Linked DNA regions of Caenorhabditis elegans. The protein of the gene in region 2 interacts with the protein of the main gene of each other region in a pairwise test. Each region holds a gene or a part of one and is shown on either strand. Other genes may lie near its edges. The genes, in order: nhr-49 and nhr-76.

Region 1 (15,637 bases), on a different chromosome or scaffold from region 2:
ATTTATTTTTCATAAGCTATGAATGATACTAACACCTCTCGGAAATAGTTTCTCTTTGAAACTGACTCAAATTTTGCGAGACTCTTTTTTAACCGGATCATACTTTTTTAAACGGCAGAACAAATTTGCATTAACTAGATGAGCACCTTTATGATAATCAGTCTGAACATCTAGGTCTAGCCATCACAAAAAAAGACCGAGAATGCGTAATTCCAAATTGTTCGGTGGAAGAAAATGCATGATTCTTAGTACGCTTGGTCAGGTAATTCACTACGTTCTTGAAAACTTACTTGGTTCAATAGATAAACCACCAGCAGAAGCAGATCTATCATAGTCGTCACCGTAACTTTTATCTTCCAAAATCTCTCTGATTGTTGCATGTCCTAAAAATATATCCTATAAAAGAATATAATTCAAGTTCTACTAACCTGATTCTTGTAAAAACTGATCCCACATTGTATCAACAATATCCGTACACATAAGAATACCAGAATGTATTGTAATCATTCGTAACACGAAAATTCCATCGATTTTTATATAGTCACGAACAAACTGTAATTTTATTTTTATCTATAGAAGCCTTTCCCAACACTCTTACCTCATCAAGTTCTTGTTTGAATCGGCTTTTTTCGAAATTAACATCAGCCAATTCTAGTCTTCTAGCAATAAATTGTCTTCGTTGATTAAATGGAATTGATGCAAAAATCCATGAGAGTATGGATCCAAAGGAAATTAGAGATAACATGGTGTACCAGAGCCATAGAATGAAAAATATCTGGAGATATCGGTTTTTATCATTAGAAGAAGTTTTTAATGTTGATTTACCTTTTCTGTAAAAATATTGATAACAAGAACACACTGGACAGTATGTCGTTGTACATGTCCAAGTATTCTAATCTGCATATCACAATATGTTACGACGGGGAAATTTGAAGATTCTTTCCATCCTTTTCCCATTATCAAATCATAAAATATTCCATAACCGTAATATCGATGAGAGTCAAGTTCCAAGAATCTGCTCATGAAATACATCTGGAATTGTAAATTTATATAAGAGTTGCCAGCTGAAAATGGAAAAAAAGATTAAAAGTCTACCTGAGTCAGCACATTCATCAGAAATAAGCATTTTATTGCTAGATACAAGTAGGTCAGATATGATTCGTAGTAGCGAACGTTGAAAATTCGGAATACCCTGAAAATTACCATTTTCCAAATAATAAATTCCAAGAAAAAAACAGACTTATGATGGTAGGGATGCTTCTCTCCAATTCTGAATCGATGTTTAAAAACGGATGACAAATGAGCTGAAAGTCCACGAATATTTGCAGTTCGTTGAGTTGGAACCACATTTGCTTTGTCGTTTGCAAATCCCATAATATCTTTGAGTCGAATTCCTGATTTGTCATAGAAAAGTCGCCATATTAAGCATGGCGCATAGAAGCTGAAAGCCACGTAGACAAGGAAGAAGGGCACCCATTGATAATATGATACCTGGAAAATTGTGGTTATAGGAAAGAATGGAACATTGTAATTTTTCAATTTTATTGGCGATGGTATACAAAAAATTGTGAAGCTCCCAAATAAGGTGGAACTTACCATGGTATACTCCCTGTTAACAACTTCAGGAAGATTATCGTCCTCAAAAGCAGTAACGTATGTGTTCCGAGCCCAGCAGTACATTTCTGAATTAAATATTAATTTGTTAGATTATTTTTATTACCTGTATAATCTTCCCAACTACTCTTGTATTCTGCGGGAAGCCAGCATTCAATAGGTCGTCCTCCGAACATTTTAAGTGATATTAAAACCTGAAAAAGTTTTGCAATAAAACAATCTTCAATTATCACTCACAGCAGTTAAAAGCAAAAATGTTGTTGTATAATAGTAGTGTAATCTGTCAAATATGTCATCATCTGCTTGTGGTTGGAGGAATGAGAGAGTTCCCACTATTTCAGCGAAAACCATTCTGAAAATATAGGATCTTAAGAGGTACTTTAACAGTCACAAAAGTCAGGAGATGCAGAAATATTTAGAAAGAAGTTTACAGTGAGATCATTAATGAATTGATGATTTCACCAGGCCATTACAGTTAAAACAGTACTTGTATGAGTTTTAATTATGTTTTGAAATTTCAAAAACGCCAAAACCACTGATCCTAAACATACTCCACAAAGGGCAATTGTCAAAACTTGTCTTCCAGTCGTGTTTTAAATTTTGGTAATAATTTTCTGCAAATTTATGAGAACATCATATCAGAACTAGCGGAAAACTGAAATAAAACAGGCCTGCCTGCCATTGCAATTTAAAACAAACTTTCAACTTTCGATACCTTGGAACACGTGCACCAGGTGAACCACCCGTCTTATTAGAAGAAGCGGAATGTTGGGGAAGTGCTTGAGCGTCCATCGGTGGAGGGGGAAAACAGAACTCTTATTCCATAATAATAATAATAAAACAATACACACCGAATAGTAGATGTATTCAATTACAGTTTGTATAAGCCAAAGTTGGGTTACAATAACTTGTGAGAATAGAAACTGAAGAATAGTTTCCGAAGAATGTTTGAGGAATCAAGGTTGGCAGCAGTAAGTGCCAACAGAAATGTGGATTTTCCCACCGTTTTGTCATGATTGCACAGTTTCACGCGTACTCTCAAGATCATTCAAGTTCGAGTAAAAAATGGGGAGAATGCGACAGTTTTTTTGAACTCGGTGAGCTGCACAAGATTTTTTAGATTTTTTTTTGAAATTTCAAAGATCTTCGCGAGAAGACTATAGTTACATAGACTCGCAATGATACAAAATTTGAACGCTCAGTTAATTAAACTATGAGAAATGTCTGATTTTGTTGAGATCCGCAGATAAGACATGGGCGAGAACATTGAGAAAGCTTTGCTTTTAATAGAATTTACTTGAAAATTGAAACAATTGCTAAACTCTGAAGACTAGATCCACAATGTTGATGTTTAGTGAATATATGAGTGATGGACAATGACTCAATTCAAATATTAAGCCATGTCTACAGTTCTATATTTGAAAACTTGTTTGAACTGATTTTTAATAGTTTTTGAATGATTTCTGTATATATTAGATGATGTGATAGTTTTGACTGTTGTTTTATGGACGACAGTCATGAATTCAATAGTGTAGGTCAGAAAACGATCATCGTATAGTTAAAGTTGCACAGTGTGTAATACAGATGTTAACCCTACAACTACTACAGTAATACTGTCAACTTCTACAGTAATACTGCCACAAATTTTATGTATTGGTGAAAAATATTGAGACATGAATCCCGCAAATACTAGAACCTTAAATAAATATTTTCGGGCTAACTGTCCTACATTTTTACGGATTTACAATATTCTCTATAACTTGAAAAATTAATTTCTTTTGAGGTCTAGGAACAAATAAAGATTGAGTATAGAAAAAAGTGAATTGATAGACATGTAATGATGTATGCCTAGGTCTCACCACGATGGATTTTATTCCAAATTGAAGCCACAAAAATGTGTGCGCCTTTAAGTAGTACAGTAACCAACTTTCCCGAAGTTAACCTTTTCTTCAATTTTTGAAAATTTCTCTCAAGTTCTTAATAGAATTTTCTCTTAAAAATGATTGAAAACTGAAACAAGTTGTTACGGTACTTTTTAAAGGTTCACATTTGATTTTAAGAACAGATCTTAAAGAAAGATAAAATGTTGACCGTTTTGAAATCTACTACTAATTGTTAGTTACCAAATTCTTGTCTCAGAATGGAAAGAATATCAAAAAACCAAAACAAGCAACCCAAAAAAACTAAATAAAATGTCCAAAACTGGCTGAAGTGTATGTGCTCCAAGAGGTGTGAACTCACCCACCTAAGCCTAAATGCTCACAATTTCTTCATCTTCCCTCTTCCAATAGACATATCATCACTTTTACCCCGTTATGTACACTGTTCGGATCATTGAATTGATCTCAAGTGTCTTGGGAAATGGTCATATATCCACTATCATTTAGATGATCGTGTCAATTGAAATCAAAACAAAAATCATCAATTTGAAGAGTTTTAGAGAAATAAACAATTTAAAAAAATCTAATTTTGAAAAAAAAAACTAAAAAGCTCAGCTTCACCTCCAGCAGCTCACACCAGGTGCTCAAACATTTGGAAAACAATACTTTTTGTAAATTCTTCTAAATTTCTAAATTGCAATAAAACTTACGGTCTTGGTGGAGGTGGTGGAGGACGTGGCATTGAACTTCTCGAGTGAATTCATAATGATGAGTCAATTGTGTTTATTTGATACGAATAATAAAATATGGTATAATAATGTATTTTATCGATGAGCTTTGAAAAAGTATAAATAAAAGTTTCTTTTTGCAAACATAAATTGGTACGAACGCTTGAAAAGAAGGAAGGAAAATGGGAAGAAGGGAATCTTCTAAATAGAGATGGGAAATGCCAAGACAGTCACTTCTTATACATATTGAAGTACTAAACTGATAATTTGATTGACAATAATAATCACAAGAATAAACGAGAGCCAGCCCGTCTGGAAAAAAGATTAAGGAAGAAGAGTTGGGGGAGACGAGAACAATAACCTGATATGATATAGAGATGGCCTAGACAGGTTTCAAGATGAAACAACTACTGAGACGGAAGGGTATTCTTCTTTTGTTATGTACATTATAGCTGGGCTCTGGACTATTTTATAAATTGGGGGTAATGATTCAAAACAACAATAAGGGAAAAGATGAAAGATCACAGATTCGGAATAGAACTGGAGATGAGATGAGGTGAAGAGTTTTGGGAGAAAAAATGGAATTATTAGAGCATATGATTATTCTGCTCACTGTTCAAAATGGAATCTTGTGATTGGAGAGGATGAATTGCCAATGGAGCTGCAAGAGTTGCTGAGAGCATTCCAGTTGGTGTAATTCCAGAAACAGACGAAACACTTCCCACTGATCCGGCTGGATTTAACGGAGATACCTGAAAAATATGAATTTTGAAATGGAAGATCTTTTTTAAAAAGAGAATTTTACGGTTTTTCCCTGAAATCATTGGCCGTTTTCGCTATTTTTGTATTTTTTTAGAATAAAAAGTTTAATAAAATAATTAAAAACAAACCCCATTAGTCGGTAACGTTGTCGGAGATGAAAGATGTTGCTGTAAAGAGACCGGAGCCGTCGAATGATCATTGATGTCGTCGAGAATGAACTCGGAGAGCAGAGAATCCACCTGAAGCTATCATTTATGTACGGATTCAAACAAGAAAAGCTTTCATACCTCTGCCAATCCGAAGAACTTTGTAAGTGTCATATTCTCAATGAGCAGCTGAGTCAGAGCCTTGAGAGCCGGTGCCAACAACAAAATATTTCCATATCTTGTGGGTGCGTCATCTGGCATCTGATCGAGAATGAATGCATAAAGAGCTTTCAAAACACGATTTCTAGCATCACGAATCATAATCTGTGAGCTATTCGAGAGTCCTTTGGCTTCTGGGTGCAAGAATGCAAGTGCTTTCAAACATACAAATTCTTGTTCTCTCATCTGAAGTTGTCGCATTGGCCAGACAATTTCATCAAGAACTCTGGGTGTTATATTGCTTGTTTTGAATGCAGCAAATCCATTGAGGTCAGTGTTATTGTCACGTGTCATATAAGTATTGTTGAAGAGACAAACTCGAGTTGTATCGGGACTTCGAAATGCTGGCATCAAAATGAGATGTTGTGGTGCATAGTTTTTCAGTAGAATGATCTTATCTTCCATCGAAAGATCCATGAATGGATTAATTGTTTTTGCCCATTCAACCATCAATAAAAGTGTTGTCCTGGAGATTTCATTCAGATCCTGAAAATAAAACAATGTGACCTCTTAATTTACGTACCATCCAACTCACTACCTCGGTTGTGCATGGCCGGTTTGGTGGTGCAAATGCCGATGCTCCAGAATCACTTCCTTGTTGAATATCTGTGTCATTTCCATTCGACCCCCCACTGCCGTTTGCAAAGATTTGCGATCTTCGGTATCGATTACACATCTCTTGATTGACACGAGCCTCCATCTCCATTAAAGCATCAATGACACTGCTGGATTGTGGAACTGTTCGCATATTCTCTTGTCCCATACCGTTTGATCCGACACCGTTGCTGTTTCCGTTCTCGTATCCGGGGCTTCTGTCTTTTTTGAATGGAGTCCCGTTGAGACTGGCTCCAGATGTTGGTGAACCTACAGGATCACGTTCGAATTGAATAGCTGAAATATATTAAATTGTAGAATTGATCGTGGATGTGATTCAGATGATAGAACATGGACCTGAATGACAGAAAATAGTTGTTAAAATTTGTATTTTTGAATTCCCACGAAAATGAATGAAATATAATTATAGTTTACTATATTTTCGACATTTTTGCGTTTTTCGGTAATGTTTATTGTGGCTTTGTTTCAATATAATTTTTTGGTAAATTTAAAAAAAAAGAAATCATTCAAAATTTAATACAATTTTTAACAGTTATGTTCTGTCATTATGACTCTATTTCTTCTTTAAAATAACGAATTAAACATGAAAAAACATCCAAATTTTAAACGTATGTAGAATTAGATACGATATTTTGCTCCAAAATTATTTTTTCTAGATAGAAAACTACGAAACAATTTTTTTTTAGAAATATCGTGTTTTGAAATGGAATCTACGGACAGGAAAAGGAAAGAAAGAAGAATATATTCTAAATTCTGAGTTAACGGGGCAAATTTCCGAATCAATATCTCAAGTTAGAATCTTTTTTGCGGCCGATCTCATTTCACGGACGAAATTGAAAAGAGGTCACTGGTGAAAAACATGAGGCCACTGTGTTTTGGATATATTCAAATATTGAACGGAAAGAGAAATGAATACCTTCTCGTTTCATTCCAACTTGTACACACTTTTGAAAGCGACAATAACGACACGCGCATCGAAAGTTTTTGTCAATCACACATCTTTTGTTGAAACGGCAAGTGAACTTCTGATCACGAAGAACTGTTCGGCGGAAGAATCCCTGAAATTCATGAGTTTTATTAATGCGGGATAAATCATTAAAAAGTTCGAGATGATAATCATAACTTTCAAAAACCAGTTAAATTAATACGAACTTTTGCAACCATAAAGTACAGTACTCGGTCTCGTCACGAACAATATGTTTTCAAATAAAGCATGCGCGAAAAGCGTGGGTTACTGTAGGTGGAGTCAATATTACTTTGCTTTAAAGTGAGGAAATTGTTTTTTAAAAACTACTCCTGTGGTACCAAAGTTAACAAAAAAAGTTAGAAAATTTTTATTGACAGTAAAAACTGGCAATTACAGTTTTTGCCACTTTTTGAGAAAACTATAGCCCTGTCGCTTATCGAATCCCTATAGTGTTTGATTATTAATATTTGAAACATAAGTAGTCCATAAAATTATAAGGAAACAATTTTTTTGATCAACGACTTCCAAAAGTGGCAAAAACTGAGATTTTTCATTTTTCAAAAAAGGAAAAAATATAATTTCCAAAATCATTTTTCGTGACGAGAACTGAATTTATAATTTCACATAATTCTAAATATAATTTATTTTTTATTATTTTATAATTTATCCCTTCTCACCTTACACCCGTTGCAGGAAATGACTCCATAATGGGTTCCAGTTGATTTGTCACCACAAACGGCACATGGTTCCGCAAGAGGATCTACTAGGTCCATGACTGAAACAATTAAACTTTTTACAACAAAAAAAACAAATGAAACACGAAAAAAACCAAACAACAGATAGCAACGCAAGTTTTCAAAGTGAAAGAGAAACGACGAATGTCACTTGTTCATGGAAACGATGAAATAGTGTTGGAGGTAGAGAGAGTGTCAGACGAGTAGAGAAATCAGAGTCAATGCAATGGCTTTAACACATGATAGACACACAAGAAATAAGACAAAATTTAATATAAGTATTGATAAGCCTAATGTAAAATGTCCTGACGATACGGTGGATTAAAAAAAACGATTTGCCGTATCTATTGCAAATCGACTATGACGTCATAGTGTTTCAATGGTGTCTTTAGGAGTGGAACGCATGTTGTCTTAATAATAAAGGACCGGCAAGTGCACACAATTGAGATGCATTGACCACTAGGCAGATGAATGGGCCGCGTTCAGAAATTGTAGGTTTTATATTAGACCTTATTGGTGAGGATGTGGAGATAATTCAGCAGCATATAATTAGAATTTCCACTGCTAGAAGGACAAACTTGGTACTTTCAATTTATTGTTTCTGAATATAGAACAATTTTGAACGTATATTCAAAAAGACCGAAGCTCATGTAGAATGTTTTTCAATAAAGTATCCTAATCGAGTCCAATAAAAGTAGAAATTTGAACATTGAAAGGGCAAGCCGAAACTTGATAGCTCGGAAATTTCGAGCCTCCCAGTTTAGCAGATGTAGTGTAGGACTAAACGTGTTGCTATTGTAGCGAAAGTAGAGAAGATTGAGAAATCATCCGTCTTGAGCAAACAAAAGGAAACGCGAAGATCAGAAAAGGACTGATGTGGCACACTCTAAAACTGGTCGATGTGTTCGGCAAGATTCCAGTAGTCTTTCTCTCTCTCTGCTCACTCCAATGAGGTATTCTTAAATGCGGATGCTATTTCAAAGTCTTCTTGATCAATCTTGTCCGACGGATCGAATAAGATAGACGGTCGCGCTAAGTAGTGTCGTTCCTTTTCTCTCCAAGATCGTAAGATCTATATCTAAGGAGCGAGGAGATGTAATGCATCGAATAAGTGACCGACGAGGATCCAGTTGTAGGGTTTGGTAAATTCTGGTAGAAAATGAGGAGACACATCGAAGAATGACGTTCTAAGAGAAAGGGCATTTGAATTACTTTAGAACTTTTAGAAGAGCCAGGTTAATAAACTCAAAAATGTACATATTATTTGAACGTATAAAAATCCATATATACCCATATAGTGGACTTTGCAAAGAAGCCATCCAAAAATCATTCTATTAATTTCTGGATTTCAATGAGCAAGTCGCTGATTGGTTTTGTAGTTCTCAGTTTGGTGGAAAATTCAAAAAGGCATGAAAGTCGATATTTTAAAAGTTGACTTTCTTTCAATGTCGCTTGATGTGTCCGTTATAAAACTTACTTACAATCATCTGAAGATTCTTCATCAATTTGATTCAACTGAATATGTTTAGAAGCATCAAGAAAGTAGTCCATATCGTGAGAACGGAATGAGTTGACTAACAAAATGATGAGTATATACAAGGAGTTTGCGAATCACCCCATATAAACAGGAAGTGAGAGACTACATTATGTAGTTCAGTGTTGTTCGATGCCCCGTACTTTGTACTCTCAAAGCTAATTGGGACCGGCGTCGTCTCATTTAAAGTCAGTCATTAAATCTATGAACTTTTGATTGTGGAAAAAAGCTGAACTACTGGCAAACAGAAAGGAAACGAAAAAAAAAGAAAAGAAAATGGTGAAAAAGAAGAAGAAGCTAAAGCTGGCAGGCCAGTCGGTTAGAAGGACAAAAAAGAGACAGTGGTTGGTCAAACATGTCGAGAAATATGAAAAACTAGAGAGAATGGAGTTGACAGAGACACCAAACAACGACAGCCAACCACCCACAGCACGTTGACAATCGATAACAGGAGAGGCGCAGACCTTTAGAGATGAATAGATGAAAAGAGGTAGAGAAAGATTGTAAGAAAGTTCCTCTCGACCCTCTCTCCCGTACTACGCTATACCCATCAGGTCGTTGACACCACCACACGTGAATGAAACAGTGTTAACCGAGTGAAATTAAAATGTTTCAGATATGCCTTATATGATAAGTTAACATTTTTGGAGCAAATATTTTCGAAAAGTTCAAATTGATGATTTCAATTTAATTATTTCTTTGAAAAAAACGAACAAAAAAAAACAAGTAAAACAATCAACAAGATTAAAATGTGTCAAAACCGGAAATTCAAACAACAAAAAATATCACGAAACTAAAAAAAAATTATTTATTCTTTTTCAAATTCCTCTGCTTCTCCGCCGACTCCACAATCAGGTCCTCGGTTGGCAGTCCTTTACGTCTTCTAACTGCATCCATATATCCTCTTGCATGATTCGGACTGTCTCCCTTCAATCCGAATTCTTCAATTTCTTCCAATGTAGACGGCGTCCAGTAAGGATCCTCGTCAATGACTTGCCAGTGAGAAAATTGAAGTTGAGCAGAAGCCATTCCAGATGTGAACTTGCGAAGTTGATCACAGAAAGAGAACGATTCGACGACGGGCATTAGGGAGACCACTTCGAATAAATTTGTAGCTTCATTGATGTCCTCGGAGAGTACCTGAATTCAAAATTATTTTTTATTTAAAATTTAGTATTTATACAACGCCATTAAAGTAATAGTCAAAATTCGAAATTTTTGAAACAAAATGCTCATATAAATGAGATTGGATATACCGTATTTATTTGTTTAATCGGCACACTAAACCATAAAATCTATTTAGATTATAGTTGGAAAGAAGATTCATTCATTATATTCTCTCCATATATACGTTATTTGCACAGATGCGTCGAAAATTACAAAAATTAAATACTTCGTTCACATGCTCAATGGGCAAATCACATTAAATATTGACATGGATTTCAGGTTTATATTCGAAAACAAAAAAAAGGAAATTTTCGAAGCCGAAAAATTGAAAAAAAAGGAAAGTTTTGTAAATTTGAAATTATATATTGAAAAACTTAAATATTTTGGTCAAAATTTAACTTTTCATAATTTCGAGTGTCATTTTTAGAGCTATATCAGAATATTTCGGATTTTTTTTTCGGAAAAAAAATTAAAAATTAATTTTTTGTAAATTTGAAATTTTATTTTGAAAACTTGAATATTTTCATCGAAATCGCACTCTTTCTAAATTTTCTAGTGTTTTTTTTTTTTGAAAACATGTAAAATTTAAATTTATCAGTTATCAGGATTTTCGGTTTTTAAAATAGAATCGTTTTTTTTCTTCAAAAAAGCGAAAAATCTACTGCCCTGATGGATATAAATATTTAAATTTATAATCTCTAACTATATTTGAAAATGTTCTACAATTCTCCATTCCTACTTTCGATTTTCTTTGTGACAAAACGGCATGAACTTTTCCCAATGCCTGACTGGCTGTAGTTACAGTACACCGGTACATGGCAGCGACAAGGCGGAGTGCAAGTTTTTTAGCAGCAGCAGAGCATGAAGCTTTTATTGCAGTCATCATTTGTCCTCCAATAGCTCCATCTTCTTCATCAACATTCCATTCTTCAACAATAACTGCTATTCCGTGCATAATTTCATTGCAAAGTGGTCCAGTATTACAGAATAATTCAAATCCAGCGACAAGTGCTTGATCATATCTTCTAACACCAAATTCTGTTTTTCTCCAAACGGAATCTCTATCATAATTTTGAACATTATTGAATAGAATATTGGCTCTTGCTCTTTCTGGTCCAAATGCCCAAATTTGATCAATCATTGATTCAATCACTTCCTTCGGTTTTCGAAACCACCAAGATCCTTTCAATGTTGGAAGCGTTTCCAGACAAACGGATGTAAATCTTTTTTGGAACTCATCAATTTCGGTTTGATCGGCTTCTCCTCGACGAATCGATGAAATTAACGAAGAATTTTTGTCGAGCAACTGAAAAATTGAAGGTTCCTCGGCAAATCGCCGCAACTTATCCACCAACTTTAGCAACTTTAGAAATGCCAAGTGCAAAAGTTGCTAAATTTTGGTAAAAAAGTTGCTAAAGTTGGGCAAAATAGGTTAAAGTTGGGGATGCCCTCAAAATTTGCACTGAAAATTTTTCTAGAATTGGCTAAACTTGGTTAAAAAGTTGCTAAAATTGGTGGATAAGTTGCAAAACGCTAAAATTGGCGCTTAAGTTGCTAAAGTTGGTGTAAAAGTTGTGACGAAATGCCGAGTTCGTTGAGGATTTTGATTTAAATTATACATATAAAATTTCTCTGAAATGCATAATAACCTGAGAATTTTAAATTAAAAAAAATGTTCTCCAATAATTTCATTTCAATTCGGCAAAATTCCGCTTTGCTTCCTTTTTTCCCATTTATTATATTTTTATCGAATTTTTTAGATAACTTTGAAACCTTTCAAAACCAAGGGTGTCGGGTTTTTCCGATATTTTGATTTTTTTTTTGATTTTTCGAAAAATAGCTCGAAACTATTTATTGGTAATTATACCTTTTTTTAATTATACGTTTTCTGATGTTTCATTTTTTGAACTTTCGTTTTTCGATTTTTCGATTTTTCCTGAAAAATCGATACCGGTTAAAAAATTTTTTATTTTGCGGAGTGTTTTTTTTTCATTTTCAAAGAAAATTAGAACAAAAAAAGAAAATTTGGTCGCGTTACAGTAACCATCATGCGATTTTTTAATTCAAAAATGTTTCCGAATTAATTTTTTTCGCAATTTTTTAATTTTTTAAAAAGTACTAAATAATTTTCCTAATTTTAGACTATGTTTTTACAATTCAAAAAATTTCAAAAAAAAGTCCTAACCTCGACAACGGCATCTCCCAATGGAACAACTCTCAATTTGATATATAAAGCTTCTCGAATACGGCATTCGGTCTCTTGTTCAATAATTTGTGGTGCTGAGAGTACAGAATCTTCAATTACAGTCTCCATAAATGGAACAATTGGTTCAGAGACATCTAAATCCACAAGTCCCAAATCATTTAAATCCTTGATACATTTTTGTAAATGTACTTCTCCAGCTGTCACCATTGCTAATTCTCCATTTTCCAATTCCATCACTTTCAGACTTGTATCAAGTAGAGCTAATAATTTCAATTTTTCTCTTAAATCGTCCATATCATCCAATTGTTGAGTACTGATCGAAACTCTAACCAAAGCTTCTCCAGTTTGAGATCCAATTTTGAGACAAGGGAAATCCGGTTTCTCACAGAGAGTAGTATTTTGTAATAGAATTTCTGCATCAATAGTACAAATCATTCCTGATGTTACTGTATCGGTTGGAATTGAATCACGACCACGAAGAATTGAAATTCGATCGATTTTTGTAGAAGTCACTTCGCTGCTATTCTGAAAAAATATTTTTTCAAATTAAAAACAATTTTGAAAGATTTTTTTAGGACATAATTTCAAACAGGTTCCGAAAAAAATGCCAATATCAGACAATCTTCAAAAAAAATCAAAAATTATTTTATTAGAGATAATGTTTGTAGGAACCTATTTAACATGTTATTTTTTAAATATTAATTTAATTTATTTGGGTTTTAAAATATCGGAAAACCGAAAATGTTCGTTTTTCAATTTTTTTTTATTTTTTTTTTGATTTTCCGATAATTTGGGAAACAAACGATTTTCCAAAAGAAAAACAATAAAAAGTTGTTCCTTTTTAAAACAAAAAACATAGTCTTGTCTGAACATGCTTTTTTTCAATTTTTCTATTGACTCTGGAAAACCAAAAAAAAAAGAAAATTTTGTATTTTTTTTGTGACACCTTGGTAGGCATAGCTTTTTTTTTTTGGAAAAATTGTTTCCTTTTTCGTTCAGAGAAAAACTCGAATTTTAATAATTTCCGCTCATTTTTTTCATTGAAATTTTTTGAATTATTTTTACATCAAAATCAAGATATATTTGCTACATCTTTAATTCTTGTAATTTGCGAATAATATTTTTCAACATTTTTTTAAATTAGAAAAATCGAAAAATTAATTTTTTTTAATTCTCTAATAATTTATTTCGAGGAAAAATAAAATGAAAACAGTAAATTTTTCTAATTTTCTTCCCAAAATTATTCCAATTTCGATTCTTCGAATATTCTAAGAAATAAAACTCACATTTTGTTGTTGAAGGACGTATAAAGTGTCTCCTTTACGCAGTGTCCCACTGAGAACACGACAAATTGCTCTACGAGAAGTGAGATTTTTGTCTTCTGTCTGAAGAAGTTTCACAACAAAAACCAGTGTCATTGCTTCAGGATTACATTCGAGAACGAATTTTCTTAATGGATGATCCAGACGATGACCTGTCAGATGATCCAATCGATGTTGAGTATCAAATGTTGATCTAACATTTGGAGCTCTTGCTACTGCTCTGAAACTTGCTTTTGGAAGTGGCAACCAAGTTCTCATAAGTTCGTCGAAAGCTTCATTGGCTCTTCTGGATTTTAAATTAATTCCAAGCTTTTTTGCAGCTTCGGCAAGCTTGGTAGCATCATTTTCAACAAGTCCAAGATCGTGAATTCTCCAAAGTGGTTCTAAAACGATTCTTTCGAACAGTGTTGCCTTATTCTTAACTGCTGCTCCATCTCTGATAGACCCAGTCGAATCAATCCAAAAATCTCCGAACATTGCAGGAAGTAATGCCGATTTTTCTACTTTCATTTTTTCAGCAGCTATTTGAGCAAAGTCTTCGCATCCAAAAGCGTATGAATGAAGTGCTGATGAGAAAATAACATTTCCTTTTGCAGGATCAAAATGAAGTTTTGCTTCCGATTCTTCGATATTTCCCCATGTATCATCTTCTAATACAATTCCTCCAAGAACCTGACTAATGCAACTATTGACTCCTTCAATAAGACGAGACATATGTTGATATGCTTCACTTGACGACATTTTCAGTTCAACTCTCAATCGATCGATTTTATTGATAACAAGAATCATTGCTTGACCATTTCTGATAACTTGACGAATAAGAGCTTCTGTTTGTGAGCAAATTCCTTCAATAACATCAATCAACAGAAGTGCAATATCGGAAAGAATCAATGCTGACGTCACTTCTCCAGAAAAATCCACGTGTCCCGGACTATCAATGAGATTGATGAGAAGTGGCTCACAGAGCAAACTGATTCCACTGGATTTCATAGTAATTCCACGTGTTTGTTCATCTTCTCGACTGTCCATATAACGTAATTTTCCCGCCATTCGACCTGAAAATTTAGATAATCGTTGTCGAGTTAGACATTTTTAAAGTTTTTACTAGAAATAACAGCATTGGCTGAAACCAGAGAATCTGCAAAACTGGTTTTTCCATGATCCACGTGAGCGACAAGACAGACATTTCGGATATGCTCAGCGGGTTTCTGCAATTTTTTACATAAATTTTCAAAATAGCTTTAAATTTTGGTCATTTTCCTTTTTTTTTAAATACATTTATATGTATACTTACGTTTTTTTACTCATCAACGTATAAAAAAATGTGAGGAAACTTAAAAATCGTCGGTTAAATTCTTTTTTTTTTATTATAAAAATTTTAATCTAAAAAAGTCCTCACCGTTGCCGCTGCCTGTTTTAAAGCTGTTTCAAGGCTTTCCATTGCGTCAGTCTGAAATAAAATATCTGAAAATCTGTAATAGCAATTTAAGAAATATGCGAGAATTTTGAATACTCCAGAGATCTAGAGTAACAATATTGAAAACATTTAATTATTAATTTTTATTTGATTTTATGATGTTTTTGATCTTTCGTGAGGGTTTTTGCAATATAATTCATAATTTGGAGAAAAAAAGAAATACAGTTTTTGAGATGGAGAAACAGAGAAAAAGGGAGAACTGTAGAGGCATGCAGGAGGTTTTCAAAATGTACATAATTTTGGGGTTTTAAGTTGGAAAAATAAGA
Region 2 (17,019 bases):
AACCAAAATCAAAGACTGAAGGAGTTTCTACCTGTCATGGAAATCTAAAATCAGATAGAAAGGAAAGTTCCTCGCACGAATAGCCAAAAGTTATGTTACTGATATTTTTAACGAACCTGTATTGTGAAGTCGAAGAACATTTCTTTATAAATATTTTCATGATTCTCAGAAGGTTCTACATAATAACAAAAAGTCTAGAAAAAGCGGAAATAAAACGTGATTTTGCCAAAATACTAATATTTGAAATTTAAAGAAAACTAATTTTTTTTGGAATTAAATAAATTATAAATAATTCTCAAAAAACTGATACAAACCTGGAATATATACACGCATATTCAGGTGCATACATGACATTTGAATGCTCAACCACCCTTAAAACGTTCACATTAAAATTCTGCTCAATGATCTTTCATAGTTCTCACATCTTGAATATATCACATGTTACCAACTACTACTATTACTACTGAATATTCTGCAAAAGTTAAACAGATATGATATAATTTATTGCTGGTCAATCAGTCACACGCTAAATTGCATCTGCACATGAGGAAAGTTGCAACAGAGCGAATGAATGAATGAGTAGAAGAAACAGAAGAGATTTGGCACAAATCTCAGAGCACAGAAGTCAAAATTTAATCTTACGAATCTCGAAAAAATATTTTACAATGCTAAAAAAGTTTTGATTTAATAGTTATAAAAACTCAAAAAATTTTTCAAAAATTTTAAAAGAATTTTTATAAAATCATCGACTAAAACCTTGCAAACTTTTGAAAAAAAACTTGAAAGAAATGTTCTGCAAATTCAAAAAACACAGTGGAATTTTTAAAAATAATTTTATCGATCGAAATTTACACGAAAGATTTACTGAAAATTCTATAATGAATATGAAAGGTTTTCAATTTGAAAAATGAAAAAAAAAGTTGGTTGAAAACTTGACTTACTTAAAATTTTTAAAAGTTGCCAAGAAGTTTGAAAAAATATTTAGAAAAATAAATTTAAAAACTTTTTGCCTGAAAGTTAAAAAGGTTTAAAAGTTATTCTTAAAATTATTGAAAATTTTATTTAAAAAATATTGGCAAAAACTCTTGAAACGTTGTTTTCAATACTTAAAATTTCTCCAGATGCTCCGTGAACGAGCTTACACTTTTCTATAAATTTCAGACATTTCAAAGAAAAATATTTTCAAAAAATACAAGTACTGCTGGAACTAATCACAATATTTGTACTCGGGATCGAAAGTTTTGAGAAAAACAAAACACAAAATGAAAAACAGATTCGTATGTCAGGTCAGGAACAATTCAAGATTCAGAAGTTTTGACTGACAATGAGAACGGGGAAGTTTTTAAGCATTAAGCCCATAAGTCTTAGAGTTATTTTTTGATATGAACATATATAAAACAAAGAACACAGCATATATCAAAAAGAATAAAAAATCACAGAAAATGAAAGAACACTTTTTTAAAAATATGAATATATATATTTCTGCCTCCATATTGAAAGGGAACATTTTTTGTGGCGGCGGTCTACCGACCAATTTGGTTGCCAATTTGTGTAATTTGTGCTTCCAATTTATGTTGTTTGTGACTGAAAAACCAATAGATTCAGACCGGACTTCTGACTCAGAAAAAGGAAAGGTGAAAAAGGTTTAGCTCAACTGTGAAATTCGGCGAAATTGGCAAATTGTGGTTTTTTGCCGGAAAATCAAGAAAATCGACAATTTGTCCATATTTCGAAATTTACCGTAACATCTAAAAATGTATGTATATTTTTAAATTCATCTACCAAAAAAATGTTCAAAAATTCAGCAAAAAGTTATTTTCAAAATTTCGGTTCGGAAACCCGGCAATTTGCCAAAAAATTGAATTTTCCGGCAAATCGGCAACTGTGCAAATTGCTCGCTTTAGGCCCGTCGGCAACTTGTCACATTGCACTTTTTCCAATTTTTGGCAAAATTGGCAGTTTACCAAAATTTAAATCGTCTGGCAAGTTGAGAACTCGTAAAAATGTCCGATTTTTACAAATTTTAATTCAAAAAAAATCCATGAAAATTGGCGGAAACGTTTGGTCAGAATTAAAAAAACAACGGAATCAAATTTCTAGGCCAGCTGAAACAAAATGAAACTAAAGAAGCAAAAGTTTTTGTAAACAGTTAAAAAAATACCGATTACCTTGAAAATTTTAAGTTTGACTTTACCATGCCTGCCTGCCTACCTGCCTACATACCATTAATGCTCACGTGTTCTATAGCAAGCAGGACCTATAACAGTACCTACAAATATCGTTTATAAATTGGAATTTTTTTTTCCTTTAAAAATCCAACAAATGATGTACTAGCATAGTTGTATATATCATCAGAAATGTTCAAAAACAATTTTTTTGCAAAATTCCTAATAAATGGAATATATATGGACCTTTTTGCAAGACACCACAGAATAAACATTTAGTGGAAAAATAGAAATCCGCAAAAATAGAAATGACGTCAATTATTTTCTATTTTGAATAGACTCTCTGCTTTCCATCTGGGGCCCACTACTTAGACCACGAGGTGTGTAAATATTTCATTTTCTTTTAACGAATGCAAAATGAAGGTGGGAAACAAATGGTCATGCGGTGTTGGTCGACTAAAATTGGAACTTTATAGGGTTATTCAGAGAGAATATGTGATTTTATGGATATTTCATGTTCGAATTTTCCCGGCGAATGAAGTGGTTTTGGGTCAAACTGTGTTTGAAAATTTTTTTTTAACTTGGGGTAAAAGCTCAAAAGTCTGAAATTTGAAAAATTAACTTTGGAAATTTTTAGGGAATTAAAGGAAAGATTGAGAGGAGAAAAAATATTGAAATTTTTTGAAACATTTAAATTTAAATTTCCCTTCAAATAAAAAAAAATTAATTAGAATTTTTAGAACAATTTTTTTTTTGAAAATTTGAATCTTGAAATTCTCGCAAATTATTTTCATAAGTTTAAATTTAACTGTTCCTTCGAAAAAAAATTAAACTTTTTTTCTTAATTTTTGTCTCCTAAATTTTTTTTTGAAAATTTAAATTTGAATATCACATCAAATTTTTTTGGAGAAAAACTTTCAATTTCCCGAAAATTTGAACAAATTTAGAAATAAATTTTAATTTGAAATTTATTAGAAAAACTTGAATATCCCATCAAAAATTATCGAAAAAGTTGAAATTGAGTTTCCCGGTAAATAGTTGAAAGATCAAATTTTGAGATCCCCGCCGATGTTTTTAAATAGTTCGAGTAAGATATTTTCTATTTTTCTATAACCTTTTTTAAAAATTTGTATTTGAATTTCGTGCTAATTTATTCTGAAAAAATTGTTTTAAAAATTGAAACCAACAATGCAATTTTGAAGCATTTTCACATTTTTAAAGCAAAAATTTATCCAAAATTCATAAAAATAAAGCAAAATTTGCTGACATTTTTCTCTGCAAAATGGAATACAAAACACCTATTCTCCGTTCTGGGAAAATCATTAGTGAAAAGCGTGAGAATCAAGGAATAAAAGCAAGTGACGTGGAGTTTTGGAAATGGTTTTTGTTATTTTCCGAACGACTTGACTGGAATTTTAAATGTGTCATTTTTGCAGAACAAATACACAAAAAAAATAAAATGAAATCATAATTGAAAAGGCGTTCTGAGGACACAAAAACACAATAAAGAGACTTTTAAATCGGAGATCAAATATGACTACATCATATCTGTAAAGCTTTTATGAAAGGCAGGCACGACCTTAGGCCTGCCTACTTGCCTACATACCTGCCTGATTTTGTAAACGATGTGATTATCATCTACAGTATACCTTGAAAACCTTGGAAAATCTCAAAAACCGACGACCTCTTTTTTTGTGTTGATGCCAACAAACAGGTCACAAGCCACTTGGGAATAATTGAATTTTTTTTGATATTCGAGATTCTTGAGAAAAGGGAAGAAAGTTGTATAGAACGATGAATTCTGAAAAGAAAACTCAAAAATAAAACAACAAAAGCGGAAGGAATTAGTGTGGAGAAAAATCGGTTCGCTTCGTTCAAACAAACAACAATACCCACTTATTTTGTTGTTTTTTTGTTTTTTTTTTGCAACAAAAAATTGTTCTTTTTTGTTTTCTACTCTAAAAGTGTTCGAAGCTCTTGAATAGCAAAACAGAAACAGACGGAGCACACATTTTCACTGAGTGCTCAATTATGCATTTTTTTTTTGCGGCCATGTGGAAATACGGTGAGAATACGGGAGACACGGGGAGGGGTGTGACGTCAATTGGAGGATAATTCAAAATTAGAGGTTATTGCGTCGTTTGACTTTGAATTTTGACACAGAATTTTGCAAGAGAAAAGAAAAAAAACGAGGTTAAGACTTTCCGGAAAATTTCAGAAATTCGTCGAGCTTTCAGAAAGTTCTTGAGAGTTTGCAAATGTTTCCAAAGGTTTTCAGAAGTCTCCAGAAGCCTTGAGAAAGTTTCTGGAAGTTTCCGAATTCCTAAAAAGTGCCTAGAAGCTTCCAAAAATTTCTAGAACTTTCCAGGATTTTTTAAACATTCTTCAAGAACTTTTCAAAACTTGCAAAACTTTTCAGAAATGTTTCGAAGTTTCCAGAAATCTTCCCAATATTTCCAGAACTTTTATAGAGTTTCCTGAACGTTCTTGAAAAGCCTCGATATCAAAAATAAAATTCAAAAAGTTCCCAGTAGTTCTTTGAAATTTCAATAAAATTTGAAAAGTTTTCAAAGTTTTTCAAATCCGCCAGAAAATTTCAGAAACTTCCGAAACTTTCAATAAGTTTCCAAAGACTTTAAACATTTTTCAGGAAATTTTTGAACTTTCCAGAAGATTCAAAAAATTCAAGAGATTCCTGAAGCTTTCTGAAATTTCCCAAAAGCGCCTGAAATTATACGGGGTTCGCAACTCATGTAAAAAAACGCAGGCTGATGGAAGGCACGAGAAAGGCGTAGGAAGCCTACATGATGCCTGTACATATGATGTTCCAATAGAAAAATGGTGTGCTGAAAATTAGCTGTCTTTGTTTCCAAAAATTGGCTGCCATGGTAAACTACTTGTAGCTTTTTGCATTTCTGCAACATTTTTTGCAAAAGTATAAAGTTCAGAATACGCAAAAAAAAAAACGAAAAGTAAAACATAAATTATAAATATTTATTACAATTTCTTTTGAAACTTTAAAACTAGCGAATCAATTTCTAGCGAAAAGTATTTTCTAGCGGGCTGGGTATTCTATGTACAACTGCAGGACATTTTGGGGTTACGTGAACGCGAGATCATCAATTAATTTATCATATTCCATCACATTGAACACACGAATCACGTGAAAATTTTCACGGTGAACTGCCATCGCATTGCGGACGGCTGTCAGAAGAAGCAACGTGTTGCCCACGAGAAGACCAGCCTGGAAACTAGAAGAGGATGAGAGAGCGTAGGTGAGGAGGAGAGCGCAGAGAAAACATCTAGGTGCTCAGCGGCCTCTCCGCTGTTTCAGAATAAGAGAAGTATCTAGATTTTTCCAGAAATATTTTGACTTTTCTAGGGATGAATGGTCAATGAATGATCGAAAATCTTACAGAAATTTTGATCGAAATCGTTTCAAGATTTTTCAAAATTTCCAGAAAGCCTTTTTAGATTGTTGTTGAAATTTTCAAATAGGTGGTCCAGAATAGTTCAGTTTTTGTAGAACTTACCAAAAATCCCAGAAACTTTTCAAATATTTTCGAAATCTCTAGAAAGTTCTAACACATTTAAAGGTGGTGTACACTGCAACTTTTTCCTCACGAGGGACGAGGAAAAGTGGTTTCTAGACCATGGCCGAGGGGCCGACAAGTTTCAGCGGCCATTTATGTTGCTTTGTTTTCCGCGTGTTTTCTTTTGTTTTGCACCAATTTTTCCCGTTTTTTCTTATTAAAACTAATAAATAAATATTTTTTGCAGATGCTAAAACAATTTCCAAGTGAAAAAAGTCTGTATTGAGTCGGTAAGTAGCGGTGAAAGTGCTCAATGTAATATGATGGATTACGGGAATACAAAACCTAAACTTTTTCCCAAACATGATACATACGCTGCTTAAATGCTGAAACTACCTGATTTTCATAACGAGACAGCTAAAAAAATTTTGAGGTTTTCAAAATTCAACTTTTTTGGTGAAAAAGTAGAGATTTTCGCATAAAATGTTGAATTTTAAAAATCTCAAAACTTTTTCAGCGGTCTCGTTATGAAAATCAGGTAGTTTCAGCATCTAAGCAGCATATTTATCATGTTTGGAAAAAAGTTTAGGTTTAGTATTCCCGTAATCCATCATATAACATTGACCACTTTCACCGCTACTTGCCGACTGAATACATAATTTTTTCATCTGGAAATTATATTAGCATTGGCAAAAAATATTTATTTATCAGTTTTAATAAGAAAAAACGGGAAAAATCGGTGAAAAACACAAGAAAACAAAGCAAGTACAAAATGTCGTTATATGCGGTGTATTGTGTGCAAACACCGATTTTTTGCATTTTTTCTAGGCCCCCGTTTGAAAAAAGTTGCAGTGGTGTAGTCCAATTTTTTAATTGCTTTTTTTTTAAATTTTTTTAACCAAATCTTGCCGTCCATCGACTTTGAAACAACTAAATGAAGTTGGAAACGCGCAAGATAATTACATTGTGTACTTAAAATTTGACGGTGATTTCAAAAAAAAAATTGTTTCCAGCCGCTGTGACATTGACAAGTTGGTCAAATTTACAATTTTAACAAATGTTAGGCCATTTTTTGAGACGCCATAACTTTTTTTTGAAAAGTTTCCAAGAAGTTTCATTTTGAAATTCGGTGTTTTCAGACAATTTTGATTTTCATAAACGTTCAGAACAAACCAGAATCTTCTAGAAAATTTAAGATCACGAAATTTTTAAATGAAGGATGCTTCTCTACCTCATGTGGGTCTATCCCCTGTTTCGCATAAAACTCGAACCAATCCTTCATCACCCGATTTCTGGCCATCACTACGGCGTTACGACTCGCGTCCGATAAGTTATCAGCGGCTGAAATTGCACTTTCAATTGACACCTCTCTTCCAGACAGCACTAACCTGTATTGAATAACAATATTGCAAAAAGAGCACAAAACTCGGTGTCTGTCATTCTAGAGTGCTCTAACGCGGATCCAAGTTCGTTCAAACACGACCGCAGCGGGTCGTAGAGCAGTTTCAGACACGTTTCCTTGTCCATGACAGACTCGGTGATTTGTGTGAATTCGTCGTCGAATTGAGCACCATGATCACTCAAATCCGTGTAGGACCCGTCCGGAGCAATTAGTCTGAAATCGAGAAAAGTTTTGCAGAGAGTAGAACAATTCTGATGCTCTCAAGAAAATGCGAGAAAAATTGTGATGAAATCTGGAGTATTCTAAAATTGAAAATTCGAAAAATTAAAAAATTTTATATTTTCGATTTTTTAAAGAAAATTCGGTCAAATTTTTTAGGTAATTTTTTTTTGAAATTTTGTTGAATTGAAAAGTTGAAAAATCGAAAAAAATGGAGATTTTTTCCTTTAATTTATTTTTCAAAAAAAAAAATGACCAGAATTGTTGAATTGCAATTTCCGAAAAAATGTTGAGAGTTTTTTAGAATTTTCAAGAATGGTTCAAAAAATCCTCGAACGTCCTGGAACCTTTTTTGGAAAATTTGAGATCACTTTCAAGTATTCTGCGACGCTCTAGAAAACACTAAATGTTTTTGGAAACGTGAAACAACTTTTGGAATTTTCTGAAAAATGGTACATATTGGAAAATGCCAGGAAATTCTGACATGTTCTGAGAACTCTGGATCTTCCTGAGCATTTCTAGAAATTCCTGGAAAGTTATATAAATTTTTGAATATTCTGGAACTCTCTAGAAATAGCATAGAATGTTCAGGGACTTTTTAGAAACAAATTTTTTGGAATATTCGGAAACTTTCTCGTAAGTTTGACATGACCTAGACCTTTCAAAAAATTCTAAAAATATCTGGGCATTACTGAAACTGTCTGGAACGCTCTGGAAAATTCTGGAATGTAAAGGTCTCTAGAAAATCGAAATATTTTTAGAAATATCGAGAAAGTTGTGGAATTTTTCGAAAACAATTTTTTCCTAAAACTAGAGTTATCCTACAGTAGCCATAGAGTACTAGAAAAGTACCCTAACAATAAAAATAAAATGCAAAGCCCTACTTTTGAGTTCTCAACCCATCATATTTCACAGAAATATAATATTTCTCCAGCATGGCCAATGACACAGCACATCCCTTGACTAATGTCTCCTTGGTATCCAGGTCCATCTGTCGGAACACGCTCATTGAATTCATCATCTCCACGTACAAAACCAACTCAAATCGCATTTTTTCCTTGTAATATCGTTCGTCAAATCTCGTTGGTCGCATCTTCTGAAATCCGAAAGAAATTGCTAAAAAGAAGCCATAGTTAGTACAGTAATTACTAAGCCGGTGCCTCCGAGCATCTCGCGAAGTGATCCGTTACAGTAGAACATTCGACGTCGCTCCACAGAGTTTTTGTATAGTGCGGCAAGGGTTTCGATGTAGTTTTCGCCGGGAATTTCTGAACTTTGGATGAGTTGGGATGGGTTGGAATTAAAGAAGCATGGGAAGGATCAGGTTTTAAAAAAGGATGAGAGAAGCAGGTTCAGACTGTTGGGCATCACGCTCGCCTTTTCATCGACTTGCAGCCGACAGCCAACAACGGGCTCGTGAACCGCAAGGTGTCGGCCGCAGGATTTACAGAGGGCGGGCGTGGTGCCCCATTTTCGTACTCACCTTTTGGAGCAACTGGAAGTGGTTCATTACATGTGCTCGTACTGGATATCCAACTACCCGGAGTTGCAGCAGAGAACAGAATATCGTCGAGCTTCTCCTTTTTATCCTCCTCCTCGGCTTCCTGAATCATTTCTGCTGGGGACCGTGGCTTGATCGAGTCTCGAAGGTTTTGGACGCCTGGAATCGGAAATTATTTTATTTGTGCCGACCTGCCTACATGTCTACGCGCCTGCCTACCGACTATCTGCCTGCCAATCAAAGTGAATGCTTGCCAGCCTATCAGCCGTTCAAAGGCCTACATACCTATGTGTCTGACTGTCTACCTTCGAGTTAAATTTATGCGCCCGTCATTTTCAGGGACACAGTCTTACTGTGATGTTAAGCAGCTTAATAGGTGAATCTTTACAGGTAGGCAGGCCATACCGTACCTACAATTAGGCGCTCTCACTTTTTTGCGCCCTCTCCCCCTAGACAGATTCCATCTTCTCGACAAGAACAACTCATATTTCAGAGATCAAAATCTCCGAATTCTCGAAAAAAAAGTTTACTTACTGCTCGGATTCATCCCCATATCGATACACCTTACGTATCGGCATGCTCGACAATTTGATCGGTGTCCTGAAACAAGGAAGTTGATTTTTTTTGTCATTTTTGTCAAATTTGCTTGATTTGTACAAATTTTTTCGAGTACGCACCACTACTATTACTACTGATAAGCAGAACACACGGGGCTTTTACATAATTTTACCCCGATAAAATTGTTTGTCTGTCTAGCAATTTTCGTTCGATAGAATAGAGTTTTGTTTTCTGGTGACTAGAAATCGAATACTGTAAGTGTTCAATTCATAGTTGAATAGACAAAAAAGTGAGAGAAAGAGAAAAAGGGAAATATATATTGAAAATTGAATCATGTTGCCGTTATCGACACAATTGGCCACATTTGGAAATAGAACATGGGAAATTGGGAAATGAAATTGGAACGAAGCAATGCCAGACAAACCAAAAAGTTAATCGAAAATTTTGGATACATGCCAAAATGCCAAAAAAAATTTTCTCACAAATTATTTGTTTCTAGTTTTTTTTTAAAGTTTCGTGCTAGACTTGAATTGAAATTAGGCACAGTTATGCCTACGCACATAGCTACCTGCCTGCCTTTTTGCGAACCTGCCTATTCAACTTTGTGCTCTGAATTTTACAAAAAAAAAAGCTAGAATTCAAAAATTTGCCCTTTATTCCCAGAGGAATATGTTATAGTTGCAAAATAATAGTTGCAACAGTTGCAATCAATTTCCATGTCAAGTTGGATGTACATACCTTTACCTTTTGCCAACAATGCAACCTACCTCCCTGCCTGCCTATTGGGCAACCTAGGCCTACCACCTGCCTACGGAAATGTAATTATTGCTCACTTAAAAGGAGAAATACGTAAATCTACACTGTAAATACACAGGCAAAACTGCGACCTAGGCCTACCTCGTACCTACATACGTCCATAAATGTTTTGCTCATTTTCTTACACAAACGTTTGGAAATCTACACCGTGTAAACCGCCAATAATCAGAAAATAGACAGCTAGGAAGACAGGTAGCCAAGTAATAAAAATTGCCTACCTACTGTAGACTCCTTACTATAAAAACTAGTATTCACTCAGGCAGGCATGTTGGCATGTAGGCGTGCCTGCCTACTATTCGAGTCTAGTAAAGTCATAGGATTATTGTAGTTGTTCACTAAAGTTTAAAAATTGTTCTAGAATCCGGTTATCAAATTCACTTTTTCATATCTCTCACGTTTGCCGAAGCTGGTCAAAGTCTACAAAAAGGAGGCCCCACGAAAAGGGGAGCAGAACGAAAAGGGGATCTGCAAAAAGGGGATCTGCGAAAAGGGGAGATACGAAAAGGGGAGATACGAAAAGGGGAGCAACGAAAAGGGGATCTGGCACTGTGCCAAATGCTATTTTTCTCGAAGAAAACGATACAACGATGCTCCGATGTTACGCGTCGCGTGTTGTTAAGCGTATCTTCCAGAAGAAAATTTCAAAAATCAACGTGCGTTGCGTGAGAAAAATTGCGTTTTGTGCGTTTGGCACAGTGCCAGCTCCCCTTTTTGTTGCTCCCCTTTTCGTAACTCCCCTTTTCGTATCTCCCCTTTTCGCAGATCCCCTTTTTGCAGATCCCCTTTTCGTTCTGCTCCCTTTTCGTGGGGCCTCACAAAAAGGGTACGGTAAAAAATGAACTAACGTCTATCCAGCGGACACAGCGAGTTGCCAACTGGATCCCTCCTACAGTAGTACCTCCTCGAAAGCACTACGGTACGTCGAAAAAACGCTGAACAAGCGGCACACGCAATACACCCAAAATGGTATCCACTGGAGTTGGGGTTCTTGCACACCGCACACTCTTTCTTCTCTGAAGCCGAGGAGCACGATGATGTGGATGGTGGTGATGATATAGCTGATGGTGGAGATGGCTTCATATAGGCGTTGGGATTTGATGAGTGTGGGAAGGAAGGAGGTACTGAAGGTGTTGTGGTGGAGGATGAAGGCGTCTCGAAGGGGTACCCGGTGAGCTGGAAAAGTTCTGATCGAGTAAGTTATAGTTTTGGCACAACATTTATTGTATCTAGGTGCGCCGGTTTAGTCTAGCCGAGAATCGGCTTCTGAGCCAAGCCGGTATTCTAAAAAAAACCGGCAGTAGCTCACCTGTCCAGCACCATTCAGCTTCATCATGGCCAACACCTTCTGCTTCCCGAGCACCTCCATTTTGCTAACTAATCTGAAATAATTTGAAAATTTTAATTAAAAAAAAATTTTATTTGAAGAAAGAAAACATATCAAATAATTACAAAATACGGTTATTGTAAAATAAAAGTAACGAACGATATGAGTAATCGGAAGAAACCTGCCAGTTGGGGAAGTATGAGGAAGTTTTCCGGGTTACTGTAGGTCAGGGAAAATGTTGTGAGGCACGAGGTAGGCGTAGGCCGTCTTAAAGTAGGCAGGTAGCCAAATCTCCAATTCATGAAAATTTCATATGAATTTCATATTTGATACACATGTGGTATGATAATTATCAAAAAAAATTATCAAAAAAAGTGATTGACATATATTTACAGCGGATATTTTATTATTATTCTTAGGCGGCCTACGCCTACCTTATGCCTATGATTTTCAAAAAATCAATTGAGATTGGAAATTGCAAACAAAGGTAATAAGGTAGTAGGTAGGCAGGCATGAAAACATGCATGCCGAAAATTAAAATGTTATTAGAATTTTTAAATTTTGTGAAATATCCTAACTATAGGAATAATTCCAAAAGTGAATTTAAGGCCTGTGCCTGCCTGAAACCTGCCTGCCTTTATCTGCATTTAGAATTGAATTTAGAAGTTGAAAGTTTCCTCATCTCAATCGATTTGTTGAAAACAAAGTTAAGAAAGGAGCAATGAATTGGCAAGTGTTTTAGCGGAAGGCGCAAGGCACGCGAAAGTCACCTTAAGGGGAGGCAGGTAGGTACGCATTAGAAGCCTGTATGGAAACTCTAGTTTGCGTAAAATTTTTATTCAGAAACACCAATGTTGAAAAATATGAACTTTAAGCTTCAGAATTTCAGAACCATTTATCTTAAAACTTGGGAAACTTTTGGGAAACTAAATATTTTTTGTAAATATTTTTCCAAAAGCAGTATTAATCACATTCTAAACTGCTAGATAGTGTTAATTTGCAATCGAAACTTGACAAGATAAGTGATCATCAGAAACTTGGGAAAACAGATGCGAAATGTTGCGAGCGGCAGAGAAGGGAGACGGGCGAACAAGTGATATCGAACAAAAAAGCAAAAAAAAACGAAGGAAAAAATAGGAAAAATAGAACGACCGGCAGACGCAGACAGTTTGGGTAGGGAGAAGGAGTGGCTAACTGTCAAGTTTTTCGGTTTTCAAAAAATGAATGACATCTTGCACTTTCCCCCTGCATCCTTCTATCAAAAGTGCACACACTTGTTTATGTGTTTGGTTTGAGAACATTTTTTTTAAATTGTAATCAGAATGAATTGAAAAGAATCGGAATCGGCAACATATTTCTATCTCTTAGTGGTTTTTTTTTCGTTCGTGTTATGTTTCTTTTCCGCTCTCTTTTCAAAGTGCAAGTTGCCGGCCGTCAGAGGCGGGGTTAGGCGGGGGCAGTCTGCCTAGACAGAGAAACATCAGGAAAAGAAAGAAAGAGTTTGATACTTGTTTATTGGTTAAAAAAAAAATGAAAAATTGGATGAGGATTTGGCGGGGCGAACACAAGTTCGGAGATCACACGAGTATTTTGAATTTTAAAAATATTAAAAAATAAATCCTACCCTCGTACCACTTTCACAGCTGATAGATATCTCGGCTCCCTTTGATTTTATCAAAAAATTGTCAACGGACAAGATATGTGCGAAATATTTTTCTAGATTTTCAAAGTAAACGTTTTTTCGATTCCGGCAAATCGGCAAATCGGTAAACTGCCAAATTGCCGATTAGCCGAAAATTTTTGGAAAATTGTGGTTTTGTACTTCTTTTTGGAATTCCCAGAATTTCAATTTTAAAAGGCAAAATTGTATACATCTTATGAATGTTCCTACATCTATTTTGAAAAGTAAGCAAATTCTATGAAAACATTCAAAGGAAACGGGACGAACATTTCAAAAAGGCACAGTTTTAAGTTTTTCCGTTTTATAAAAAATCCCTCTAATTGTAAATTTTTTTTTTGCAAGGAAAATTGGCAATTTGCCGAATATCAAAATTTGCGACAAATCGGCAAACTGCCCGGAATGAAAATTTCCGGCAAATCGGCCAAGCGGCAATTTTCCGAATTGCCTAACTGCAAATGCCGCCACGATTCGGAGGGTGCAAGTCCTAATAGAGATCATTAAAGTTAAATTCTACGTTTTATAGAAATTTATATCAATTTGTATCCAAAAAAGGCGCGGTAAAGCGTTCTACTTCCCAATTTCAGAAACATCACGAAGAATTTTGTTACTAGTTTGTTGTTTCAGTTTTACAACTCCAGATGTACAAAATATGTGTTCGAAATTGTAACATGGGTGTGGAGAGTGAGTGTTCTGATTCATTGTTGCTTTTTTAACGCTGTTAGATGGTAAGAGTTACATGGTAGGCAGGTGTCATGACTACGTATCCAACGTATGCTTACTATCCTAGGTGCCTGACTACCTAATATAAAAATTTGAACATTACTTTTTGCTTTGAGATTGCTAAAAATGAGAAAAATGAGATAGGCAGACATTGATAGCTTCGAAGACAGGCGGGCAGACGTTGATCGCCTTGGAGGCAGGTAGGCAGGCATAGGTCGCCTTGAAAGTAGGCTGGCAGTCATAGGTCGTTATTAAATCCAGGATCGTCTTGGAGGCAGGTAAGTAGGCATTTTGTGCTCCGTAAAATAACAATTTCTTCTCAAAAAAAAAACAACCAAATACATTTAGAAAGTCTGATTCAAAATCATCAAAAAAGGGATCAATCCATAAAAGCAGAACGATTGGATGGAAAGTTGATCAGGCAACAAAGGCTATGTCAAAGACGCTCCCGTAGAATAATTTGAAGATAAGAATCTTCCCGTCTCACGGGAAGAAAGGGGAGTGAGATTGTACGAAGTTTGATACATTTGTTTGGATATACGGATGTACTTGAACTCTTGGACGGAAAGAACGACAACATTTCTTTTGTAAAAAAATATTTTTAGCAAGGCTTTGTTAGGTACGAATTTATGGCAATGAGTATCTCATGACGACCTGCCTAGCTCATGCCTGCGTGCCTAGCCTAGCTCACTCCTGATGTGAGTTTATTTTCTGACCCCTACCAGACTGTTTCTGTGCCTATACATCACACCTTCTGCCTAGTTGCCTGCATGAGTGCCTACTTCATGCCTACGTTAACGGTTCACGTGCACAGTATAGTTATCCTCCACTCTCACCTCCGCCATTTAATAGTTCCACACGCGCATCTATGATTTGTCGGTACACAGCTCAGGACTGCCCCTACCCTCTCCTCCATTCAGTATCGCTTCTTCGGCTTATTAGCTAAGATCAAAGTGTAGTATCTGTTCTTATCGTATTAACCTACGGTATACACTCAAATGAGTGTAATAAAGGTTATATGATTTTTGGAACCCTGGGAAGACTCGGGGCTTGCTTCGACTTCCCAAGGGTCGTCCTGGCGTTGCACTTCTGCCGGGCTCGGCCCAGTCCCCGTGGGGACTAAAATAAGCTTGCAAAGTGTCAATAAAGCTATCAAGTACCTCCGTCATTTGAAAAATAATCAATGAAATTTGTAACTACACAGAATTTAGCAGCAGAGGAGCACCTTCATTTTTAAAAAATCGATCTGAAATTTTTTAGCTACATGAAACATTTCCATTAAAAAACAAACAATTTCAGGGCTAGGACTCAAGTTTCAGCACGACTCCCAGACAACGCCAAAGAGCCCGAAAAAGTTGCAGCTAATTTTTATAAAGATTTTTAAATTAAAAGATTTATAAATTAGGTGTAGGGAGGTGGTAGGCGTAGGTTGCCTTCCAGCCTGGTATGCATATGTGTGCCTATGATTAAATTTAAAGTGTTTCCTGACTTTTGACCTATTTATTTACTCGCCAGAGTTTCTTTTTGAATCATCGGACACAATAAAAACTGTAGCAACACAATTGTGCCGTTGTCCTTGCACACATTTTGCCCACTAACAAATAATGATCATTTGGCTCATACATATAGTCACTCACAAATACGTCAACGATCTATTTGTTGGTGCTGACTAAGACGGGAGAGTTCAACTAAAAAACATCAGACAACAAACGGAGTGAGAGAACGGAACTCGGTGAGCAATTCCTGAGCACCTGATCAAATGGTTTATTAGCCGGAATTTTGCACAGGTTTTTGTGTAGAAGGAAATTGGCTAAAGTTATACTACTGTCTGGTCAAACTCGAACAGTTTGTTGACAATTTTTAGCCTGCCTGCATACAAGGTTCCCTACTTTATGTATGTGTCCTGCTCCAACTAGTAAGGCTAACCACTCACAAAATGACATCGCAACCCGCAAACCGTCGGGCGCAGTAGAAAACTGATATATTGAATAGGCTCTTACGACTTAGCACTACCCAAGGAATGCACGTAGGTAGGCGAACAGGCCGGCACGAGGGCCTAACATTCAACTATACGATAAGTCGCGAAACCCAGAAAATGTCGGGCGTTCGTCTAGTAAATTAAATTTCGTAAATCTTCTCTAATCCAAATTCTAAATTCGAATAGATGAGCGACAGGCTTGAACGTAGGTAGGCAGTCGTATAGAAGGGCTTGCTCAGAGGTAGACTCAAAAAATGTGAAGAAGGGAAATTGCCGGATGCAAACGCGACTGAATAGGCGGTAGGCATGCAGGCAGGCAGGCACAAGTGCGAAATCCTTCGGTGACTTCAAAGTTTGAAGAGAACAAAAGTTCTAACACACCTTTCTGATTTCCAGAGGGCTATAATTTTCAGGCCTATAATTTCAGAGTCAAGAGCAATTTCGCAACATTAAGATTCTTCTAATTCAAATGTTGCCACAAAAATGTGGCAACATTTGAGTATTGCTTTTTCTGCGTCTTCTTCTTCTTCTCACCCCTCTCTATGAGCAATTGAACACGAAAGTTAAAACAACAATTGGCACGTCTCCAAACATTCAGACATTTCTTAACTTTTGAGAATGTACAGAGGGGGTACAAAGACTATTCAGAAACATGGAAAACTATATAGATATATAAGAATGAGGATATGAAGAGAAAAGATAGCAAAAGTGACGGATAGAATGGATCGGATTATGACGATCAGTGAACACAAAGGTACATTGCGAGGGGGATGTTGGAATGAAAAAATTGCTTCTATTTTGATCTTTTGACATTTCTTCTATTATTTCTGTTTAATAGACTAGACTTTGGATATATATTAAAAGATTAGGATTCGAAAGAAAAACTGTTCGGAATTTGTGTTTTAATCAGGTGCGGGGTGAAGGCTGTTCATTCAACAGGACATTCCAAGCAGATATGCCAAAGTTCTTTTTTGAAAATGCCTCATAGAAATATAGAAAATTATTTGTAGTTTTTGAAAATAATTTTATTTTTTGAAAAAACTCTCCTGAAGTTACTCAAAAAAAAAAACTCAAATATCAATGTGCCGATTAGTGGATCCATTGTACTTTTGAGACATTTTT

The links.
Region 1: the proteins of nhr-76 (region 2) and nhr-49 interact in a two-hybrid assay, tested with the Caenorhabditis elegans proteins (4 studies listed by BioGRID).

The regions. Positions count from the first base shown.
Region 1 is NC_003279.8:9,863,297-9,878,933, reverse strand, and holds nhr-49 (Nuclear hormone receptor family member nhr-49), read right to left. Parts: upstream 9,217-15,637; coding exon 9,147-9,216; coding exon of another isoform or gene 9,143-9,146; intron 7,707-9,142; coding exon 7,609-7,706; intron 7,023-7,608; coding exon 6,881-7,022; intron 6,241-6,880; coding exon 5,885-6,240; intron 5,836-5,884; coding exon 5,272-5,835; intron 5,224-5,271; coding exon 5,113-5,223; intron 4,975-5,112; coding exon 4,810-4,974; downstream 1-4,809. Other genes in the region: inx-20 (Innexin), read right to left, coding at 291-383, 429-552, 599-775, 826-1,032, 1,096-1,192, 1,241-1,491, 1,597-1,682, 1,721-1,808 and 2 more; K10C3.5 (Elongation factor-like 1), read right to left, coding at 10,004-10,339, 11,106-11,672, 12,552-13,097, 13,859-14,949, 15,000-15,102, 15,294-15,335.
Region 2 is NC_003282.8:622,091-639,109, reverse strand, and holds nhr-76 (Nuclear hormone receptor family member nhr-76), read right to left. Parts: upstream 11,574-17,019; 5' UTR 11,561-11,573; coding exon 11,501-11,560; intron 11,368-11,500; coding exon 11,040-11,367; intron 9,421-11,039; coding exon 9,355-9,420; intron 8,980-9,354; coding exon 8,803-8,979; intron 8,588-8,802; coding exon 8,469-8,587; intron 8,416-8,468; coding exon 8,204-8,415; intron 7,314-8,203; coding exon 7,087-7,313; intron 7,040-7,086; coding exon 6,930-7,039; intron 5,410-6,929; coding exon 5,266-5,409; 3' UTR 5,147-5,265; downstream 1-5,146.